Canis lupus familiaris: one gene and its partners. The protein of the gene in region 2 binds, or shares a complex with, the protein of the main gene of each other region. Links are inferred from orthologs where the notes say so. Each region holds a gene or a part of one and is shown on either strand. Other genes may lie near its edges.

The links.
Region 1: CHTOP (region 2) and THOC5 share a complex: the UniProt entries of both Homo sapiens proteins name them as parts of the transcription/export (TREX) complex. The link is inferred for Canis lupus familiaris from reciprocal best matches to the Homo sapiens genes CHTOP and THOC5.
Region 3: CHTOP (region 2) and SARNP share a complex: the UniProt entries of both Homo sapiens proteins name them as parts of the transcription/export (TREX) complex. The link is inferred for Canis lupus familiaris from reciprocal best matches to the Homo sapiens genes CHTOP and SARNP.
Region 4: CHTOP (region 2) and DDX39B share a complex: the UniProt entries of both Homo sapiens proteins name them as parts of the transcription/export (TREX) complex. The link is inferred for Canis lupus familiaris from reciprocal best matches to the Homo sapiens genes CHTOP and DDX39B.

Annotation. Positions count from the first base shown.
Region 1 is NC_049247.1:23,169,687-23,175,327, reverse strand, and holds part of THOC5 (THO complex subunit 5 homolog), read left to right. Parts: intron 1-513; coding exon 514-591; intron 592-1,285; coding exon 1,286-1,326; intron 1,327-1,560; coding exon 1,561-1,660; intron 1,661-3,093; coding exon 3,094-3,202; intron 3,203-5,641. UniProt on the Homo sapiens protein: Component of the THO subcomplex of the TREX complex which is thought to couple mRNA transcription, processing and nuclear export, and which specifically associates with spliced mRNA and not with unspliced pre-mRNA.
Region 2 is NC_049228.1:43,413,646-43,419,793, forward strand, and holds the start of CHTOP (chromatin target of PRMT1 protein), read right to left. Parts: upstream 3,511-6,148; 5' UTR 3,110-3,510; intron 2,984-3,109; exon of another isoform or gene 2,813-2,983; intron 2,656-2,812; 5' UTR 2,639-2,655; coding exon 2,574-2,638; intron 1,250-2,573; coding exon 1,096-1,249; intron 483-1,095; coding exon 399-482; intron 1-398. Other genes in the region: S100A1 (protein S100-A1), read right to left, coding at 4,461-4,604, 5,901-6,041; S100A13 (protein S100-A13), read left to right, coding at 4,620-4,627. UniProt on the Homo sapiens protein: Plays an important role in the ligand-dependent activation of estrogen receptor target genes. May play a role in the silencing of fetal globin genes.
Region 3 is NC_049231.1:540,400-546,040, reverse strand, and holds part of SARNP (SAP domain-containing ribonucleoprotein), read left to right. Parts: intron 1-3,004; coding exon 3,005-3,104; intron 3,105-5,641. UniProt on the Homo sapiens protein: Binds both single-stranded and double-stranded DNA with higher affinity for the single-stranded form. Specifically binds to scaffold/matrix attachment region DNA. Also binds single-stranded RNA. Enhances RNA unwinding activity of DDX39A.
Region 4 is NC_049233.1:1,170,164-1,175,804, reverse strand, and holds the end of DDX39B (spliceosome RNA helicase DDX39B), read left to right. Parts: intron 1-305; coding exon 306-424; intron 425-2,723; coding exon 2,724-2,855; intron 2,856-3,620; coding exon 3,621-3,730; intron 3,731-3,829; coding exon 3,830-3,974; intron 3,975-4,111; coding exon 4,112-4,259; intron 4,260-4,584; coding exon 4,585-4,601; downstream 4,602-5,641. Other genes in the region: MCCD1 (mitochondrial coiled-coil domain protein 1), read right to left, coding at 5,162-5,347. UniProt on the Homo sapiens protein: Involved in nuclear export of spliced and unspliced mRNA. Component of the TREX complex which is thought to couple mRNA transcription, processing and nuclear export, and specifically associates with spliced mRNA and not with unspliced pre-mRNA.

The sequences.
Region 1 (5,641 bases), on a different chromosome or scaffold from region 2:
GATGGGGCAGGAACTCAGATCTGGGACTAGACTACAGAGTCCAAGTTCTGTCCAGTGCCCTGCCTCCCCAGTTAAATGTGACCATGCTGGCCAGATGCTAGGTGTAGTACAGAACAGAGAATAAGCCCTTAGAGCCACTGTTTCCAGGATAATTATGGGCTTCTGGATCAGAACCTTTAAGACAGTTGGCAGAAGGTATTTTGTGGCTTTAGGCCCTAGATTGGGATTGGGCATTTGTGTAAGCCTAAAAGAGAGGCGTTCACTGTAGTCTCGGGTGGCGCTTGTCCCAAAAATCTGCACTTGGGTTTTTTTTTCTCAGTAAACAATGGAAAAAAGACTTAAGTTTGCTACCTTGTTCCTCTTCATCTAAAGAAAGGGCTTTTGCCCTCCTAACTCCCAGTCAGTAAGTTCCTGTGACAAAGGCAGAAGAAATGTAGTCCTAGAGATAGCCTGTTTATGTAGCTTAGCTCCTTCTCTCAGCAGCTGTCATATGAAGCTTTTTCTTGCTCACAGATAAGACGTTGTCTGTGGCAATTGAAGGCAGTGTGGATGAAGCCAAGGCTTTATTTAAGCCTCCTGAAGACTCCCAAGGTAATTTAGTTGGTATCCTCTCCCAAGTCTTCCATAGCTGATTCTAGGAGCACTGGGTCATCACCCAAGGGCATAGTGCTAGTCCTTTGGAAATTAGCTGTACTGGTTCTGAGTATGAGAGAGCTTGACTTTAATGACTTAATGCTCAAGGGTAGACAGAGAGAAACCCTGCTTGTGGATTTCATCCCTGTCACTCACTAGCTCACTGGTCCTGGGAAAGCTCCTTGACATTTCTGAGACTCAGTTTACTCACCTGTCAAAACAAGATAGTAATACCTCATATAGACTATCGTGGATTAAGTTTGGTCATGTGTGCAAAGTCTTTAGCATCATTCTGGGCTCATAGCAACTCCTCAAATTGCATGAGCTGCTACTGTTGTTATTATTTATATAACTGTTGCTGCAGCCACCACCATTACCAGTGGAGGGGCTTGTGGTCCATAGGATGACATTAAAAAGTATTTTCAGAAATGAGGGGTTGGGGTGGAATTATCAGGCATTTCTCTGTTTTTTCCTTGCATCACCGTGTCTTCCATACTGAATAAGCAGCAGCAAATTCATTTATTATGTATTCTAAAGAAACCCATTTACAAATGACACAGAGTCTTGGCCCCTTTATGCTTCGTGGGTTGAGGCACTTTAGGGAGCATTGGGACCCCCCTCCCCATCTCTAGATGCTTTTTTGTGGTTGCAGATGATGAGAGCGACTCGGATGCTGAGGAGGAGCAGACTACGGTGAGAGCCGTGTCCCCCACGAGTATGCTAAGCAACTGCCTGCTAGTTGGCAGGTGCCATTCTCCCCAGAAGCAGAAGAGAAAGGTTGGAAAGAAAGGGCTGCTGGGGGCCTGGCAGCCAGATACCTGAAGCAGCAGGTCCCAGGCAGCAGTACCGTGGCCCTGACCTGTAGGGAGAAGGAAGGGGAGATTCATGTGACCGGTGCTTATCTGCTTTGATCTTTCCTTTGTCCAGAAACGCCGGCGACCCACACTGGGAGTTCAGTTGGATGACAAACGCAAGGAGATGCTGAAGAGGCACCCGCTATCAGTCATGCTGGACCTGAAATGCAAAGGTCTGGTTTTCCTTGTTCTGGGGGACCCCATAGCATCTAAAAGTTTGGCTAGCTGCAGGTGTACAAAGTCCAGCAAACCAAAGTCCTCTTTGACCAAGAAAAGATTCTAGTTTCATATTTCTGTTTTTCCTCATTGTTTTGCTTAGAGTTTGTTTCATTTTTTTGAAGTCGTAACCATAACAACAAAACCAGGCACATAATGAATGATTGGTAGAATTACACCAATTTCTGAATTTGTTAAGTCAGATACACAGAACAAGTTGCAAGAGTATGCAGGTTTTAGTTTAGTTTTGTTTTTTTTTTTTTTTTTTTAAGATTTTATTTATTTATTTGAGAGAACGATAGCACAGGCCAGGGGGAGGGTCAGAGGGAACAGGAGAAGCAGGCTCCCCGCTGAGCAGGGAACCCAGTGTGGAGCTTGATCCCAGGACACTGAGATCATGACCTGAGCCAAAGGCAGATACTTAACTGACTAAGCCATTCAGGCACCTTGAGTATGTATATTTTTGAGTAATATGACCATTGTGCTTAATATAACAGACATAAGTAGAGGTTTGTATTCTGTAGAGAATATATGTTTTTTTTTTTTTTTTTTTTTTTGATAGAGAATATATGTTTTGAAACTAGTTTTGTATGGATAAAAAAGCAAATGATAAAGCATTCTAGGAGTATAAGAGTTAACAGTTACATGCTAGTTTTTCTCTCACCTGAGACTCTCAGACTCTGATCCTTGGTCTTACCTCCAAGGACAACCATTATGACACATTTCTTATGTATTTTCTAGAACTCTTCTATGCATTGAGAAGCTTTTATACAAGTGTGTATTCTCTTTTCCTTTTAGTTTTTATACAAATGGAAACATACTGTACACACTGGTCCTCTCTATACTTTTTTTAAAAACTTATTATTTTTAGGTAATTTTAGACTCCATAATAGAGTTCTCATGCTCTTCACCCAGCTTCTCCTGATTGTCAGCATTTTACCTAACCACAGTACAATGATCCACAGTACAATGACTGAGATTATGGATTTTGGGGAGGAATACCATAGATGTGTCATCATCACATCACATCAAATCAGGGGTAAATGGTGTCACTGTGTCTTATTACTGGTTACGCAGACCTGGATCCACTTGGTGATCACTTGAGATTACTTGAGCAAAGGCCTCTGGGCTGGGAGTCTGGAGCTTGTTAGAAGGAGCTAAGTCCAGCCCACACTCAAGAGGAAGGAAATAAAGTTCCCCCTGTTGGAGAGAGGAGTTACTAAGAATTTGTAGACATTCTTCTTTTTTTAAATCAATATAAAATTGACGTTGAGTTTTGTTTTTATAGTAAAAGTTTTTAAAGGCCTTGCTGACTTTTCTGTTCCATTACACCATAAACTGTTCTCATGTTCACCTTGTACTTGCTTTTCTTTTCCTCCTCCCCCTCCAGATGACAGTGTACTTCACTTGACTTTCTACTACCTCATGAACCTCAACATCATGACAGTAAAAGCCAAAGTGACGACCGCCACGGAGCTGATCACCCCCATCAGTGCAGGGTATTGGGCAAGCGCTATGAAAAGTGGGGGTGGCTGTGAGAAGAGCCTCAGTGTGGGCTGCTCCTGGTTCCTCACGCTCTGAGGAGGTGCATGACTATGTTGATTTCTGTTGTCACATCCACATGGCCTAGAAGTCTTGGCGCATAACTGATATTTAGGAAGCACTTACTGACTTTAGTTGGTCCTTTTACTACATAGTAGATGATAAAATGACTACAGTGTATGGCAAATTGAGTAGGCAGGGCAGAGCACTGTTTTTATAAACAGTGGAAAGGCATGAATGGAGTTTGGCAGACATTATTAGGTTGACAAATTTAAATTTAGGCCATCCTCTTCCTTTACCTTTTCTCTCCCAAGGTGCTGGGATTTTTGTTCCACAGCTCAACTGGTACCAGGTTGTCCTTACCTGGTGGTGAGAAGAGGTTTTGAGGAAAGTGAGCAGAGGCATAGTAATCATTGCCACAGGTCGAGTATCCCCAGGAAGCCCCTGACTGTGGTGGTCTTGTTCCACAGCTAGGAATAGGAAGAAGGCAAGCGGACCCAAGAGAGCCTGGATGTTAAATAGCCTCACTTACAAGAGCACTAGCCTGGCCTAGCAGTCCTGCACACTGAGTCCTCGAGTTGGCTGTCCAAAGACCACTGAGTGTGGCAGGAGTCTAGCTCCTGCTGGGTTGTGGCTCTTCCTGTGGCGGCTACCTGATGGTGTGGTGTCCTTGGGTTTTCTACCCTGTACTTAGCGTTCACATCCCCTTCAGGCTGCAGTCTCAGTCCCTGTGTTTGAGAGTGGTGTTTGGTCACCTTTGGGTACTCGGGATGAATTGACCCTGTTCTCACCTGGCCCCAGCAGAGGGAGCCCAGGGCTGGCTTCTTCGGGCTACACTGCCCAGCCAGAGCTCTCTATCTAGGAGCTTGAGGCAGTGGTGGAGCTTCTACATTGTGCAATGATGGGAGCAGTGCTGCTGACTGCTTACCAGCTGGACTCAGAACCCCTGTGTGTCCCCAGTCTGCCACTTACAGCTGTGGGTGCACCTACTGAGTTTCCTGTCCACTGAGTCTGCTTTCTCGCTCTGGTCATTAATTGTGATATCCCCTTTGAGGGTGTTCATGAAGGATCGGGTTCAGTGCTTAGTGTAGGTGAAGCACTTGGTAAATAACAGTTGTGTTTATCATCATGAATTTGCTTAACTCTTCACAACAATTTTATAAGGGGAGGAAACTGAGGCCTGTGTACCTCTGTACTGTATGCCTGTCATTGAGAGGTGGGCTGTGGCCCCAGAAGAGAACCAGGATTATAGCAATTGCATCTTTATGGGCCTTCAGGTATGTCTAGTTCATCCCCCTCTTTTCCAGATGGAGAAACTGAAGTTCAAAGGGTATATGATCAATTATGGAAGCCCCTAGCCTAGGGCTCCAGACTCCCAGCCCAGAGGCCTTTGCTCAAGTACCTCTGCTTTGGCCCCTGGAGATACCAGCCTGGTATATGGTTCTATTTGTTTATCCACTAAACATAAGGATACTTTTTTCTCCCTAGTATAATCACAGTCTCACACTAATTCTTTAATATCATCCAATATCCAGTCAGAGTTCTGATTTCCCTGATTTTCTCACAACTGTTTGTTTTTACGTTGGGTTTTGTTTTTTTTTGTTTTTTTTTTCTTTTTTTGTTTTTTTTTCTTTTTTTTAATTTTTATTTATTTACTTATGATAGAGAGAGAGAGAGAGAGAGAGGCAGAGACACAGGCAGAGGGAGAAGCAGGCTCCATGCATCGGGAGCCTGATATGGGATTCGATCCCGGGTCTCCAGGATCACGCCCTGGGCCAAAGGCAGGCGCCAAACCGCTGCGCCACCCAGGGATCCCTTACGTTGGGTTTTGAATCTGGATCTCTGTAAGGTCCAGATGTTACAATCGGGTGAAGCTTCTCTCAAGCTTCTTTTCATCTGAATGTTGCTGCCATGTGTTTATTTGTTGAGGGGAATGGGTTGTTTGTATGTTTCTCCAGTCTGGATTTTGATTGCATCCCTACAGTGCAATTTAATGAGTAATAGAATCTTTCATGTAAAATTTTAGTCAGATTTAGAGGCTTGATCAGATTTGGTTTTTTGTTTGGTTTGGGTTGGGTTGGGTTGGGTTGGGTTTTTTGTAGGGGACAGGAGCAGGACAGTATCATAGATGCTGAGTACTTTGATCAGGAGGCACAGGTGGTTTATTTTTGTAGCATTAGCATTGACAACCATTGCCAGGATCTATTCTTTATGGAATTGATGTTTTTTTTTTTTTGGTTTTTTTTTTTTTTTTCAAAGATTTTATTCATTTATTCATGAGAGACACACACACACACACAGAGAGAGAGAGAGAGAGAGAGAGAGGCAGAGATAGAGGCAGAGGGAGAAGCAGGCTCCACGCAGGGAGCCCGACGTGGGACTCAATCCCGGGTCCC
Region 2 (6,148 bases):
GTGTCACACATGGCTGGCTGGTAGCTACCAAATTTGGAGAGCAGATAAGAATATTCCCTTCACCGCGCAAAGTTCTATCAGACACCTCTGCTCCAGAGGCTACTTTCTGCCCAGCCTGTATTTAAAGCTTCTTCTAGAAAGGTCCCTTGGAATGATCTGCCATAGATTTATCTTTAGCAATTTAGAACTGCCTCTCTTGGAAAATGGTGGGGCCCTTTTTACCGCTTTCCTGGGTCAGGGACAAATACAGGAACTCCAAGGCTTAAGGTAGCTGAAGCAGAAGGCCCTGTTTATTTTTGGTCAGTGAGCCCAACAGTTCAGGGTGGGGGTGGGATGGTGTTATATTTAACCGCTGAATTTATGCACAGCCATGCAGTGCTACCAGTTAAAGTCCTTACAGTTGCATGGCATCGCCCTCCAGACGCCCAGCCACAGCTTGGACATATCCTTCCACAGCCACTGTCCGGACTTGCATATAAAGTCTATGAATAATAAAGAGCAGGTTTTATTTCAAGTCTGAATAGGATTATCTCCTACTGGAAGTTTGAAAAATAACCTACTAATTCTTAATTATTCAGTGCTCTCATTCTATTTTACTGACAAAACTTTAGGTGCTGTGGAGATGAGGGTCACCTTACTCTTTCTCTATTTTAGCACTGAAAATCCTTGACTAAGGCTGTTCAGACTTCCTATGCTCAAGGAAGAAACAAGAAAATGATTTCCCTCATGTGTAAGTCACTCAATAGGGAATAAAGCATTTTTTGAAAGTCATCTAAAACAGACACCAACATTTCTTTGTGGGAAAATCCAGTCAATTTACTTTAAGGGCAAAGGATCAGAAAGAAAGAGATTAATACTCATTGATAACACAGAAACAGGCCACTGATGGCAAACTACCTAAAAGAGAAAGACAATGAAAGTTACTTATTGGTACCTGCCAAAATGGGAATTCTCTGAACTTCTCTTTCCTCCAGAGAAGTTTCTGCTTTTGCCCTGAGCCACCTTACAATCATCCATCACGTCCTGACAGCCTCAGTTGGACTGCCTGACAGAGATCACCAGCTGCTTCTGGAGCATTAAGACTCATCTTCTCACCTGCTTAAGTTTTAATGCTGCCTGGACAGAGGGTCTATTCTCCATCTGCTGGGCCAGTCTTCTGTTTCTGGCACTGGCTAGCTGCTGTTGTTGCTGCATCGAAGCCCGAATATTCACTGGCATCGGCTGTTTGTTCTTCAGCATATTAGTAAAGCTTCAAGGTCGAACAGAATGGATGTTTAAATAAAAGCTTTATTACAAAACATTTATTGGCATTTTCATGGCTTGCTAGACCAGGAGCTCCAGATCCCACGAACTTTAAGTAAATGTGGTACACTTAGATCAAGGCTGATGTGGGTTAAAGACTCCTCGGCTTCCACAAACTTGCAAGAATCAGAAACTCAGAAACGCAGCTAAGTGCAGCAGCACATTCAATCAAAAGTGATAACAAGGGCTCAGGGTAACGGCTTTTAGAGAGGTGGGAGGTATGAAAAACACGCAATAAGCAGATATGAGGACAACAAAAGACAGAAAACGTAGTTTCAAAGACAAACAAAGAAAGCCAAACTCTTGGGGGAATTGGAGGGTGGCTGTAAGGGCGAATGTAGGGAAGGACCAGAGCACCTTCACAGCCCATGGTAGTAGTACACCCATGTAAGTCATCAGAGTAGATCTCACTTTCTTCATCTATTTGTTCGTTCAGGTACATAGAAGCATGAAAAATCAGTATATCATAGTGTAAGAGATAAGAAGCAGTACATATGCTTCAGAAAAGGCAAAAGCAAACATCAAGTCAATCTTCTGGATCTTTTGTGGTCTAACATCAACTAAATAAAATCACTGGTCAAAGGCGCTCAATAAAGAGCTTTTGGCACCCTAACTTTTTTTAGTCTGATGATTACTTTTCCTGACTGCATGTGATTATTTCTGAGAAAATCAGATTACTTTAATCACTTAAAAGCTTGTGAAGACACTCCTCTGTTACTCCTGTCAAAGTATGTTTAATTGTACAAAAAAGAACACTTAACTGTAAAAGAATCTAACACAAAAACAAACTAAAAGCAGAATTCAAAGAAAGAGAAATGGAGCAAAGCAAGTGCCTCTTACAAGGCCCAAGAATGGCATTCAAGGGCCTTTGGACATATCCACAGCTTGCTGCCTGCCTCTTACAGGCCAGACACAACACTGCTGGCCTTGGACTGAGCAGCAAGCCTCCTGCAGCCGAGGTACCATGCTACCGAGCTGCACCACCCCTGTATCAATGTAAAAAAATGTGAAGAAGAGGGAGGGTGTGAGGAGTCTTTTTAAAATACATCCCACCAGCTAAATATTTCAGACAGCTTAACATAAAAATCTACTGATAAGGGGTTTTGAAACAACCGCCCAATTTGTTTCGTGTACCACATCAGATGCAACTAAAAACAGAGGTCTGTAGCCTTCTGTTGGTATTTACAACTGGTTTTTGTGCATCGGACCCCAGGGCCAAGTTAAGTAATGTTTTCTTATGAACGAGCTGAAGTTGCTGTTGGCTGCCTCACCGCTCATTTAGAGACATCTTGGTGGTGCTTTTTAGCACAACTTTCGGCGCTGACTGTGCAGCCATCTTCAAATCCCGAGAATCTACAAAGGACAGTAAGAGGATAAACCGAGTCAGACCAAGGACCCCCTCGTCTCAAGGGCAGCGAGGGCCCGACAGGCAGGACAACGGACGACCTGTCTCGAGGACCGACGCTCGCCCTGAACACCGCTCCGGGGGCTCCAGTCCCCACACACTTACGGCCAATCCGGGCCTGGAGGCCACCGCCCGACCCCCAACGCGACAGAGCGGACTGGTCTTAACCCGGACCGGCCCTCGTCAGCCGGGGCCGCGAGGAGCCTCCGCACACACACGAGGGTCCGAAGGCCCTCACTGGCCCCGGCGGAAGGAGGACCCACGGGGCGCCCCCCTCAACGCTCCCCATCCGGACGTTGGTTTCCGCCGCCCGCTCCCCTCCCCGACGCCGCCCCCCCACCGCCGGCTCCGCCCCCCCGGGGCCCGCCGCCCCGCCACTCCCCCCACGCTACGGAAACGCACCGAAGGAAACGGACGCCAGTGCGCCTCCCGGGGCTGCCACCACGGCTGCGGCGCGCGGGCCGGGGCCCGGCGGAACCTGACTTGACTTGGTGGGCGGTTGGTTAGAGATGTAAGCGGTAGGTTGCTAGGTTAGCTCGTTGTTGCCGGCCGGCTGCCTGGTCGGCCGGGTCCGCCTGCTTGCCCGGCCTGCCCTTTCCTGCCTTGTGTCGGTGCCACCACAGCCGCCGCCGCCGCCTCCCGCTCGGTGTCCAAAACAAAATGGCCGCCACGCCCAGAGCCGACTGGGACCGGCTAAAATGGCGTCGACGCAATTGCGTCAGACGTCAGATCCGCGCACAGCTAGGGGGCGAGACGTTGAACGCTACGCCTGCGCGAGGCTTGGGGCGGAGCCCTGGAGAGTAGGCGGGGTCCGGGCCACTACTCGCCCCGCCCACTGAGGGGCGTGGTTAGCGCGCGCCGGCCCGGCTCGCGGAGACCCGCGCGGGGGCGGGGGAGACAGCCGTTGCTCTGTCTTCGCGGCGCCTCGGCCTGGCTCAGGGCGGCCGTCCGCAGCTCTGCGCGCGGGGTGTGCCCCCTGCCCCTGGCCGAGCAGCACCTGCTGCTGTCTCCGAGCCCCGAGCCCGGGAGAGCCAGGGACGCCCGGGCTTCTGTTTCTGTTCCTCGTCTTGAATATTGTTAAACCCCTGTGGGCGTTGTGTCCGTGTTCCCCTGATGATGCCCTCCCCATCCGCCAGTCTGTGCACCTCCATGCACACCGACTCGGGACTTTCCCTGGGCCTGGGTGCACAGTAGGAACACGCCGGGGTTGGGCAAATGAGGCACAGGCGCTTCTTTGACTCTTCTGCGCGCAAGTGCATCAGGGTCTTTTGTTTCCCTCCCAGCACCTGCACGTGTGTGATGGTCTGCCATCCTTACTGAACTTCACCGCTCCTTCACAACGTCTAGCGCACGGTAGGTCCTCAGTAAATATTCTCTGCAGACTGAAGGGGAATTCTGGCTTTGTAGCTGAGAAGCTGAAGTCTCCTACATTTGCAGCTGGAACTTCGAATGCCTACCTTCCTGGGCCTTGAGCATTCCTCAGCCAGGAAGATGTAATGTCCCCTTGACCTCTCTCACAATAAGATCCTTTACCAAATAAGGTGACTTGGGAGTGAGGAACCTTGACTTTCCCACTCACTTCCAGACCCCAAAGGAGACAGACAGCAGCTGGCCAGAGAAGAGCCTTTAATGAAAGATGAGTTGCAGGCCTGGCCCACTACTCTTGCGCCCTTGGTGGAGGGTGGGCAAGGGTAGGAGTGTAGGGAGGGAAGCAGGGGGATGGGGAAGGACGCTGGCCACTGGGGGTGTCTGCTCAACTGTTTTCCCAGAAGAAGTTGTTACAGGCCACTGTGAGGGCAGCCACCAGCACCACATACTCCTGGAAGTCCACCTCCCCATCTCCATTCTCATCTAGCTCTTTCATCACCTTGTCCACAGCATCCGCATCCTTCTGGGCCTGTGGAGGGAGGAGATGGAGAGGTGGGTACATTGGGAGATAGATAGTATGGAATTGGGCTAGGGAGGTGGGTGATTGGGAGGAAGGAGGGAGAACTACATCTAATTATGGGACTGTTCTGAATCCTCTTTAACACTTGGGCAGCCCAGGTGGCTCAGCGGTTTAGCGCTGCCTTCAGTCCAGGGCCTGATCCTGGAGTCCAGGGATCAAGTCCCGCGTAGGGCTCCCTGCATGGAGCCTGCTTCTCCCTCTGCCTGTGTCTCTGCCTTTCTCTCTGTGTGTCTCTCATGAATAAATAAATAAAATCTTAAAAAAAAAACAACAAAAAACAACTAACACTTGTGGCCTTCTGTTACCCACCAAATAAGCTCCTTAACAAGGCAGAGTAATAACAACATTGATGACCGTATGGTGAGTGCTTATATAAGAGTAGTACACTCGAAGCTTTACAAGCATTGTCTTGTAAAATTGTTAATTCTAGCACAAATGCTAGAGGAATAAACAAATTAACAGTTGGTGGTTAAATAATGTGCCCAACTCACACAGCTGGAAGGTGACAGGATCAGAACCGAAACCCCAGGACTGATAAAACCTCGAAGCTGGTGCACTTACTACACTTACTACTGGCTTCTGTATCATAGAGCCCCTGTCAGCATTTGCAGCCTACTTTTCTGCATCTTTCATTCGGGTCAAAACTACTGAGCGTGCTCCATATTTTTTTTTCATGCTTTTGTTTATGCAGATACCTCCTAAAATGCCTACATTTACCCTAATAATATTCCAAAGGAAATCCACAGCTCAAGTGCCCCGTCTTTGGAGAAGCCCCGTTCAGTCAGGTTACTATTGTCCCATAATCCTTTCGGGCAATTCTGTTAATGCTCTGTGTAGCTCCTAAGTGGCTGGCCGGAGACTTCATGGGGAGGGGGTCTAATTGCTTCCGAGTTTCCTGCCAGCAGACTGGGGGCCTCTTTTGGTCCTTCAACTGCTCTGTCCTCAATAGTTCACTTCCCAGTGTTCATGGTTTACTTTCATGTCAGTCTTTCCCTCCTAGACTGTGAGCCTTCTTAATGATGCATCTGCACAGGTTCTAGCACTTAACAGGAGATGAACAAATTAGGGTATTTTTGTCTTGAAACAAGATAAGTATGGGAGCCCAGAAAAATCCAGGAGAGAAGTCTGGCAGAGGAAGAAGATGATTGGAGTGGGTTGGGGGTGGGGTGGGAAGGTGGCAGAGAGGTCCCCAGGTGTTCCTCCTCCCCTCACCCATACCACCCTGTACGCCTGCCCTGTGCTCACGTCCAGGAAGCCGGAGAGCTCAGTCTGCAGCAGCTCCTTTAGCTCCTTCTTGCTCAGCTTGTACTTGTTTCCCTCCTTGCCCGAGTGGGCATGGAACACATTGATGAGAGTCTCCATCGCTGTCTCCAGCTCAGAGCCCATTGCGTAGCTCACCTACCCACCCCCCACCATGGAAGTAAGTAGGGGACCATGCTCAGGGTATCTGAGGTTGGGGTGAGGGGAGCCCTCAGACCTGGCCTGGTCCCTTA
Region 3 (5,641 bases), on a different chromosome or scaffold from region 2:
CTGGGGTATGATCCTGGAGACCCTAGAGATCCTGGATCCCTGCAGGGAGCCTGCCTCTCCCGCTGCCTGTGTCTCTGCCTCTCTCTGCCAAAAACCAAAAAACTTAAAAAAAAAAAAAAAAAGTTGTATTGCTCTGTAAACAACAAGCACCTTCTAAACACACACACACTAATGATATATTTAAAGTGTTAAATGACTATATATAGTGTTATATTTTAAGTGTTAAGTGCTGGGGTTACATAAGACTTATTTTCTTCTGTATTTTTCAGAATTTTCAAACTATTCTACAGTAAGCATAACACTTTTATAATAAACCAAGAAAATATCTTTTTAAAAGATTTTATTTACTTTAGAAGGAGAGAGCATGAGTGTGCAATGGGACAAGCAGAGGGAGAGGGTGGGGGAAAGACTCCTAAGCCAACCCCAGGCTTAGCAGTATGCCCTAGTGCTGAGTCCTACATAGTGCCTAATCCCACGACCCGAGATCATGACCTGAGCCCAAACCAACAGTCAGAAGAATTGGGTGCTCAACTGACTGAGCCACTCAGGTGCCCCAGCAAAACTTTTTAAAGTGTAACCTAAATCACAAGCCTTGTTCTCCAGGAAGCTGAAAGAAAATGAAAGAACAAAGTACCAATGTGGGAAAGATCCAGGTTCTTAAGAAATGGACCTTAGAGATCACTTAGAGTTTAGATTCTAGGTTAATAGTATTCAGGGTATGGTCTGCAAGCCAGTGCTGGGTCATGAATGGTTAGCGGTAAGTTAAAAAAAATACTGAGTAAGCATTTAGAAACTTTTTTTTTTTTTTTTTTTTTTTTTTTTTTTTTTTAGCATTTAGAAACTTTTATAGCAGTTTGGTGTCACTGCTACATCCAAATGTGTGATGATTTTTATAGTAATTGGTTTTTATTTTTTTATAAAAGTATTGAAAGTATTAGTCCATCTGGCTGAAATATTAAAAAGTTGGCAGCCCCATCAGTCTGCCTAATTAAAAATATATTGATCTGTGAAATTCCGAAATCTGAGAAGCAGAGATTCTAATATTGTCTAATCCTTCACCCAGTGTCTAACACTTATGAAGTGCTTACCAGCTGCCAAGCACTGTTGTAAATGCTTTACAAATATTTACTTATTTAATCATCCCAATAATCCCATGGTATAGATACTGTTGCATTTCATAGGAAACTGAGGCACAGAGAGGTTAAGTTAGTCATCCAAGGTTACACAGCTGTAAGTGGTAAAGCTGAAATTTGAACCCAGGGGACTTTAGAAGAGGACATTTTGTGCTTTTAGTGAGTGATTTATCTACCATGTTTCTCAAAAGGAGTGCTGTTGGTTTTTTTGGGTAGGAGAGTTCTCCCTCCGCAGAGTATCCCTGCTTACCTGACCTCACTGAATGCTCCACCCGCTCAGTCATTGTGTTGCGGGGGGGGAAGCTCCCCTCTCCATTTTCAAATGCTCCCTTGGTTGAAAGCCTTCCAGAGATGCCTAGCATATTCCCTTAATTGTAAAATTCTTTCTTCTGTAGGGATCTGCCTTCTGACCTCTCCTGGTTGATCTTAGATCTGTACTTCAAAGCCATTGAAGTCTTCTTTCAGTGCCAATCTATTTGTGCACTGATTTGCATATTGGATTTCTAAAACCTTTCTTTTCCTGCTTGTTCTCCTTGGATCAGCATGTCATTATGCTTCTTAAAATAAGAATCAATCATTTAGAATAGATTATTTTTCAGTTACCATAACCCAGAATTACTTTGGTAGCAAATCATACCATTAACCCTCTTTGTACTTGTAATTATCTAAAATCCTGAGGTCTTCAACCTTTGCGTTACTGTTGAGTCTGATCTTGCTCATCTGGTTTTTAAACAATTTAAGTTTTGAATCTAAATGAAATACTTTAGGGATGCCTGGGTGGCTCAGTGGTTGAGCACCTGTGTTTGGCACAGGGCGTGATCCCGGGTCCGGGGATCAAGTCCCACATCAGGGCTCCCTGTGAGGTGCCTGCTTCTCTCTCTGCTTCTGTGTGTCTCTCATGAATAAATAAAATCTTAAAAAAAAAATAAAGTAATGCTTTATAGGGATACCTGGTCCTTCCAAATTGAATCTTCTTTTTGGCTCATTGTTCTCTGAAGAGCCTCCCCTTCTTGTCCTCCCTGCCACTTAGTTCTCTCAGTAATCCATCAGGTCTTCCTTCCTCCTTCTGTTATTCACAGAGTTGATAAGCATACCTATTTCATGTTTAGTCAAGTTACTGATTTAGAACTCTTACATAGAACTTGATAGCATGCCATTGGATATTCTTTCCATTTTGACATAGATCCTTTAATCGATTCATATTGACATTAAACTAGATAACACATCTGCCTAATTCTTCAGGGTCAGACTTGTATGCATGTAAATAGTAGATTGCAGTAAGAGATAAAAGTAAGAAGAATCTGGGCAGCCCCAGTGGCTCAGCGGTTTAGCGCCGCCTGCATCCCAGGGCGTGATCCTGGAGACCCTGGATCAAGTCCCACATCAGGCTCCCTGCATGGAGCCTGCTTCTCCCTCTGCCTCTGTCTCTGCCTCTCTCTCTCTCTGTGTCTATCATGAATAAATAAATAAAATATTAAAAAAAAAAAAGTAAGAAGAATCTACTTTTAGATACTTAAGTTTTCTACTTAAAGGTTGATTTAAAAAAAATTTTTTTTCTGTATGCTAGCTGGTACAGTAATGGGGGGAGGTGCTGCCCCTCAGAAATAGCTAGGAATTTGTAATAATAAATAGTTGCATGAATAGGAATTTCATTAAAGTAAGTTTATTCTTCACCATCTTTTAGAAAAGTCCTCTTGCATATTGAATATTATTAGAGAGAAGTGGCCCATCTTTGTGGATCTGGAGATTTAGTGGGTTTAAGAGTGGTAGTTTGGGAATTGAACTTTTTTTTCTTGTGAGAACTACCTTATTTATTTAATCATCGGGTTCATTCTGTTAACTAAGGAAAAGCTTTATTCTTTTTTTCTCAGCTTGCTGAACTAAAGCAGGAATGTCTTGCTCGTGGTTTGGAGACCAAGGGAATAAAACAAGATCTCATCAACAGGCTCCAGGCATATCTTGAAGAGCATGGTGAGTGTTTTGTAGAGGCAGAGTGATATGAGAGAGGGGATTAATTTTTAGGCTCTGTCATGTGGAAGATTTCTCCTTTTCCTTTAAGCTGTTGGTGATATAAGCTCTTTTTTTAATTAAAAATTTTTTAAAGATTTTATTTATTTATTCATGAGAGACACAGAGAGAGAGGCAGAGACACAGGCAGAGGGAGAAGCAGGCTGCATGCAGGGAACCCGATGTGGGACTCGATCCTGGGACTGGGATCACATCCTGAGCTGAAGGCAGATGCTCAACCACTGAGCCACCCAGGCATCCTGATATAAGCTCTTTTTTTTTTTTTTTTTTTTTTTTTTTTTAAATTTTTATTTATTTATGATAGTCACAGAGAGAGAGAGAGAGAGAGAGAGGCAGAGACACAGGCAGAGGGAGAAGCAGGCTCCATGCACCGGGAGCCCGATGTGGGATTCGATCCCGGGTCTCCAGGATCGCGCCCTGGGCCAAAGGCAGGCACCAAACCGCTGCGCCACCCAGGGATCCCCTGATATAAGCTCTTAATTAACTGTATCAAAACTCTTGATCATCCAAAACAGTGGTTATAATGCAAAGAAATATACTCCTCCCCTTTTTTTTAAGACACTAATTTTATTTCAGTAAATTGTTTAAAAGGAAGTATGCTAAAACAGGTATCATTAGATTGAAAATTGGGAGATTTGAATTCTGCTACCTCTTATGCCAGAAAGTTACTCATAACTTTGAATAGTCACTGTTTAAGTGACTAGGTGTCTGTTCTGATCTATGCAATGAGACAAACGTTTCCATACTTGAAATTGGTAAATCTAAGGAATCTCTGGTTCCTTCTAACTCTGACATTCTATAATTCCACTTTTTAAAAAATAAACAAAACCAGCTTTATTTAAGGCATATTATCATTCCAGGTTGTACAAGTTCCTGCTAATTTTTATTTATTCCCTTTTATTGCTTTTACCCCAACTCCTGTAAGCAGCTATTCTAATGTGCTTGATATGTATTTTTTGTCTTTGTCCTTGTAAACCATGTAGTGTTGTTTGGAATACAATGTTTTTATGTAATTGGTAGTGAGGCCATAGCCTTACTTTAGTTCTCACTTTTTTTCTCTAAGTACTGTGTTTTTTTTTTTTGTTTTTTTGTTTTTTTGTTTGTTTTTTAAGATACATTCATATCTGTGTGGCTATGGCTGTGTAGTCACCTAGTCTACTGATTCAAATTCCTGGATAGTGTTCTATCATGTATGGAATCCACTACGTTTTACTTAATTCACCTAGTAACAAACACCTATATTGCCTCCTAGACTACTACTTTCATATTCTTTTATATTTCTTGGTGAGTGTCTTTCTAGGGTATACACCCAGGAGTGGGATTACCAGTTAATATCTATTCATAAGGTATTCCTGATATGATTAAGCACTGCCAAATTATTTTCCAAAATTGCTCTGTAAATCTACAGTGCCATCATCAGTGCATGAGGGTTCTTGTATCTCCTCCACACACCTAAACTTGGCACTATCCTGTTAAGTGGCTTCATTTTCATTAAACTGTTGGTTCAATTTACATTCCTCTAGTTATTAAAAAGTTTGAACATTTCTTGTGTTCATGGTTTGTAGGGTTTTTCCTTTGCCGTTTTTCTTTTGGGGTTCCCATAATTCACTTGTTAGTTTGCAGACATTTCTTTTATATTCTGGTAGCTGTTCCCTGTTGGTCTTAAACACAAATACTCTCTTTGTCATTTGTTTCTTTTCCCATGGTGTCTTAGTTTTGGAAAATCTGCAATTTTTCATATATAACTTTTATTTTTTTATTTTTGGTTTTTTTTTTTTTTAAATTTTTATTTATTTATGATAGTCACAGAGAGAGAGAGAGAGAGGCAGAGACATAGGCAGAGGGAGAAGCAGGCTCCATGCACCGGGAGCCCGACGGGGATTCGATCCCGGGTCTCCAAGATCGCGCCCTGGGCCAAAGGCAGGCGCTAAACCGCTGCGCCATCCAGGGATCCCCATATATAACTTTTACTTCAGTGTTTGGTTTTGTTGTTTTGTTTTGTTAAGATTTATTTATTTATTTATTCACGAGAGACAGAGACATAGGCAGAGGGAGAAGCAGGCTCCATGCAGGGAGCCTGACATGGGACTTGATCCTGGTTCTCCAGGATCATGCCCTGGGCTGAAGGTGGCACTAAACTGCTGGGCCACTGGGGCTACCCTGCAGTGTTTTTTGTTTTTTTGTTTTTTTTTTTTTAGAAATCCCTCCTCACCACTAAATATTAAAGATATTCTCTGTAACATTAATGTTATAGTTTGACCTTATTATGGTTTTTCAGTGCAGCTGGAGTTCAACTTTGTATTAATGTTAGGTAGAGAATAATACGGCTTTATCTTTTCCATGTGGAGCAGATTTTATGAGCATCAGATCTGCCTTCAACTATTGAATTTTATTTTGGGAAAGCAAAATGATTATAATTTTAGCCTAAGTACAGTGATCAAGATGGTTTTTTTTTAGCAGGGCTTGACCTGAATATTTTA
Region 4 (5,641 bases), on a different chromosome or scaffold from region 2:
CTGCAGTAGACTTCATCTCCATATCATACTTGTGAGATTTGGAGTTTCATTATCTTCTTGCCTGGCTAAAACACATAGTGCTGAAATTTGGTTCTAGGTCTTTATTTGAAATTTTCCATGTGTTACTGCAATGGATGTGATTTTACGGTGGTTCGTGTAAATAGAGTACCTGAGACAAATCTTTGTGGGAAATGGCTCTTGCTTACCTGTTTCCAGCAGTTTCACCTCACTGGGGAGGCTGTCTCCGGTCTTTGTCTATGACATTTCCTTCTTTCCTTCTAGGATTTTTTTCCTTTTTCTTGTAGACATGCGTCGGGATGTCCAGGAAATTTTTCGCATGACCCCCCATGAGAAGCAGGTCATGATGTTCAGTGCTACCTTGAGCAAAGAGATCCGTCCTGTCTGCCGCAAGTTCATGCAAGACGTAAATACCCTTCTACCTTCTCTCCCTCCACTCCCCGCCCACTGCCTCCTCCCCTTCTGCGCCCTCTTCCTCCAGACTCCCTTGTCCTTCAAATGCCAAGAAGGGGGCACGTGCCCATCTGGGAGTGATGACTCCTTGAAGAGACACACAGAGGCAGAGACAGCTAGTGTTAGGGTCTGCGCGGGTGCCAGGGAAACTCCGGAAGACTTGGTCGGGTTAACTTGAGAGCGGGTAGTGTTCGACCTTTTTTTTTTTTTTTTTTTCATCACAGCATTTTTGAACCTCTTCTTCCTTTTTGGGGGAGGGCAGGATTTTCTGCCCTACTACCCACCCATCGTCTCCTACATACCCCTTTACAGCCACGCACCCTCAAGGTGGCATGGAGCAGACAGTTGGAGCCTTCTGCTCCCCAAAACTCAACCCCCCGGTGGCAGGAGAGCAAGAGAGGGACAGACAGATGGCAGGGCATGTCCAAAAGAAGAGCAAACAGCACAAATGAATCCGCTCCCTCCCCACCTCCAGGGGTGGGGGCCTTTGGCACCTCAGTCCCCGATCCCTTACTCCTTCCGTCCATACCTCCTCGCACCCATCCGGAATCTCGGCTGATGTGAGCCGGCAGCGGAGAAGCACCATGGAACGGCGGGGGAAATGCAGACGGCACCCAGCGGTGGATGGCGGCAGCGGAGGCCGCGGGGAAACCTGACCAGGAAGCTGAGGACCAAACCAGCCTCTTTTTCTGTTCCCGGTTTTTTTCCTGAATCCAAGGCGTGCCGTGCTCCCTGTTTTTCCCCATATGTGTTGGGGGGAGGGGTGTCCTGAAACGGGGGGTAGTTTTTTTTCTTTTTTAAAACAATTTTTTAATACTCCAAGGAGAGGGATATGGGAAAAGTAATGTGAGGAGCTCCACTTGGATGTAACCAGGTGGGTGTTAGGGTTTGGCACTAGACGGGCCCTATTGTATAAACAGTGCAGTGTATTCTTTCTTATCCTGTACTGCTCCTTCCCGTGGGATGTCAGTTACCTTTAGTTATACTTGGGGCTAGATTTGAAGGAGGCCATGAAGCTTCATTTTGAAAAGCCTGCTTTTGCAAGCCTGCTTTCTGGGATTGGGCTTCTGGTTCTCTCCCGTGCCACTCATCCTTTCCTGAAACCTTGGGCCCTGGGTGTTCATGTTAATTATGTCCCCAGGTTAGTGAAGAGTGCTAGGAAACTTGGACTCAGGAGTTGAGTCTTGTGTCAGTTTGTTTTTTTTTTGCTATCTTCCTCCCCTTAAAGGGTTTTATGTGTGCGTGCGTGTGTGTATGTGTGTGTATATACATATATACATATATATGTGTGTGTATATATATATATATATACATATATATATTACAAGATGGTTGTATATCTGCTGCTCTGAATTTGTTTCTTAACACCATTTATTGGTACTGTCCATGTAACACTAGTTGATTTGACTCCTAGTTCAGAGACCAGTGCCATCTGAACTATTCCCTTGTGGTCTGAGGGCGAGTTATTACTCATCCTGAGTAACTTTTCATGGTATTTTTGACTATGTTCATTTTAGCATTCTGATCTTGACAGATAATCCACCCTCCTGATGTGGATCTGATTCTCTTAGTTGTTTGGTTTTTTCCTTAATATTTTATGTATTGATTTGAGAGAGAGCAAGCACAAGCAGGTGGAGGAGCAGAGGGAGAGGGAGAAGCAGATCCCCACTGAGGAGGGAGCCTGACTCGGAGCTTGATCCTAGGACCCTGAGATTATGACCTGAGCCGAAGGCAGACGCCTAACCGATTGAGCCACCCAGGTGCCCCCTGATTCTCTTAGTTGGGAGAATACTCAAATGAAGCAATCCCTGTCTTCCCCTCTATTTTTACAACCAATAGTGGTGGAATTCCTGACCTCGAGTCACCATGTCCACCAATTCCCAGGTGTTTGGATTACATTTTCCCTTTGGGGATCCTCTCCCATTGTTTTCTTTCCTCTGCTACCTCCTTTTGAGGTCATGGCATCTTGCCATTGGGTGGTCTCACTGCTCCTTTTCAAACTCCTTGCCAGGTTACCTTCCCGTGATACTTGGGCAATCTTAAAACAACTGCTAGGAAGGAAATTAGAGCTAACGTGGAAGAGACCACATTAAAATGAGGATATTTTTGGGGGTGTGGTGGGGTTTTCAGTCTTCTCTTTTCCCATCCCCCAATGGGGTGTTTTGGAGATCAAGTTCCTCCACCCCCCCAGGTTTAACCCCCCCACTCTGCCCTCCTCCCGTTCCCCCCCTACTCCCCCCTCCCTCCCCCAGCCAATGGAGATCTTCGTGGATGATGAGACGAAGCTGACGCTGCATGGGTTGCAGCAGTACTACGTGAAACTGAAGGACAACGAGAAGAACCGGAAGCTCTTTGACCTTCTCGATGTCCTTGAGTTCAATCAGGTCAGTTGTTCAAAGTCCAGTAGGGGGATGAGCACGTCTCCAACTGTAGCAGAAACCTGGTTAAGTACCTTTTTGTTGAGGATATGACATAGGTGATGTGAGCGAGAACAGTGGGGAAATTACCTTCAAATGAAATTCTTTTAAATGAGAATTTAAGTGCCTTTGGTGCTGAGTGTGAACAAGATGGGAGCTGCTGTTCTGTTCTTTGGCTGTCACAGCCAGGTATTGAGTAAAGAAAAATCTCAAAATCCTTGAGAGGATTTCATAAACTTGTAAAAGTTCCAAAATATCTTGGGTTTCTTGGGTTTTTAAAATTTGTTTTTTCTTGTACTGTTTACTGAGAAGAAATGTTCCATACTTTACCTGCTGTGGTTCGTTTGCACCAAAAACTTTCTAAAATTAAGGTAAATTGCATATGTTTGATGTTTTTGATGAGCAGAAACTACTCTCCACACTTTAAATTTTTTTTTTCCACACTTTAAATTTTTACCACTTTCATTTTTACCATTAGCTTCATCCTTGTCTCCCTAACATATCTGGTAGTTTTAGTTACTTTTCTCTGTATCTTCTCTTCAGCATGTCTGCTCAGGAAAAATCAGAACTGAGTGAGAAAGGCTAAGTTGTATTTAGAACAGAAGAGGAATATGTAATGGGGATTGGAGAAGTTTCAGGAAGAGTAAAAGAGTAGTTACTGAAAACTCTTCTCACACTTAATCTCTCACTTATCCCACATGGACCCATGTCCCCCAACTGTCACACACCCAGGTGGTGATCTTTGTGAAGTCTGTGCAGCGTTGCATTGCCCTCGCCCAGCTGCTGGTAGAGCAGAACTTCCCAGCCATTGCCATCCACCGAGGGATGCCCCAGGAGGAGAGGTAAGTCAGAAATGGAAAGATGTTTTGTGTCCTTGGGAAGGAAAAGAGACCGTTGAAGCGAAGGGACTCAGTATTTTTCTAATTTCCTTTCTCACGAAGGCTTTCTCGGTATCAGCAGTTTAAAGATTTTCAACGACGAATTCTTGTGGCTACCAACCTATTTGGCCGAGGCATGGACATTGAGCGGGTGAACATTGCCTTCAACTATGACATGCCTGAGGATTCTGACACTTACCTGCATCGGGTAAGCTCCACACCCACACGTGCATTCCAGTGTCCCCTCCCCCTGATTTTGTATCTTCATACCTGATAGCCTCTCCCTTCTTTTTGGATGTCTTCCTACTTCGGGATCTCCCAGGACTATCCTCTGTCTCCTTCCAGGTGGCCCGAGCAGGCCGGTTTGGCACCAAGGGCTTGGCCATCACATTTGTATCAGATGAAAATGATGCCAAGATCCTCAATGATGTGCAGGATCGCTTTGAAGTCAATATTAGTGAGCTGCCAGATGAGATAGACATTTCCTCTTACAGTGAGTATGGATCTTAAGAAACTGGCTCAACTCTTCAGTCTCCTTGTTCCTTAGTGTGTTTGTCTTAAATCCCATCATGTACACAAAGAGCCTCTAGTGTGTAACAGGCACTTAATTATGTCCTTTGGATCTTGATGCCCCTGCTGGGATGTTTAGTTGATCTGTATGTCTCTTTTCTTAACAAGCTAGTTTATTTTTCCCTACCCCCAGTCTATCCTTTGCACCCACAAACTACAGACATCTGCATGTAGTGGGGGGTGGGGGCATGTTTTCTGCCAGCCTTGCCTTTTCCATGTCTTGTAATTGTGCCATGTTTTCTCTCCAGTTGAACAGACGCGGTAGAGGACTTACCCACCCATTTTGGAATGTGACAGTCTGTCCCTCTTCAGGAGACGACAGTAGACATGGGGTGAAGGAGACACTACTGCCACCTACCCGTGACAACCCCCACCCCCCACCCCATGGCTTCCCCCTTTTGCATCACCACCACTCCTGAATCCCTGTTTCCTGAATTGTCGGAAATTTTTTTTTTTTTTTTAACAAAACTAAAAAACACATGCGTCTGTGGTGTCTGTAAGTGCTCCATGCCTTTATTGGGTTTGGGGTGAGATTAGGTCATGATTCAGTGTATATTCATTCTTATAAGGACTGTGTGCCCTGCTGTGGGGCTCAGGTCAGTTGGGAGGGATCAGAGGGGGGGAGGGGGATGTGACTAAGACTGCAGAAGCCATTGCTCCTTGCTACTTCAATTTCTGCCCTTTGTGAAAGTGTCTTCCCTTTTTTTTTTTTTTTTTTTTTCAGTGGCCTAGGAGGGGCTGGGATGTTTCTGACCCAAAGGCCCCAGTGTGGGTGGTGTGTAGTGTTTCCAGTGTTGGAAGGTAAAATGGGAACTGATGGAAAGTTTAGGCGTCTCCTAGGCTCTCCCGGTGTCTCCTCATCTGTTCCTTCAGCTTCTGGATCTTGAGCACCAGGGCCTGGGCTTCCCAAGCCCCTTCTTGCCCTTCCAGAAGAGCCTGGTACAGCTCCAGCTGCTGCTCCAGCAACTCCTCAGCTTGGGCCAGCTCAGCTGTGGGGCGGGGCCTGGGACCCTGAATGAGGGGGGCAGAGGGGAGGGAGCATCAGCCAGGGCAGGAAGCTGAGGCTTGCTGGAAGTCCGGTGTTGTGCCTCTCACATTTCCACCCCCTTTTATTAATAAGGTTCTCTGTACTGTGAAGCGAGGGTAGCTTCTGGTCTTAGGCATAGGCCTGTGGGGGGCAGTTTGCGGCTCAGGGGTTAAACTGGACTCCTTGTGCAAGGAAGGATATGGAGAGGAGAGGACTGGCTGTCCCTCCCCCCACCAAGAAATAATTAACTGTTAGAGGAGGGGAAATTCCTGGTCAAG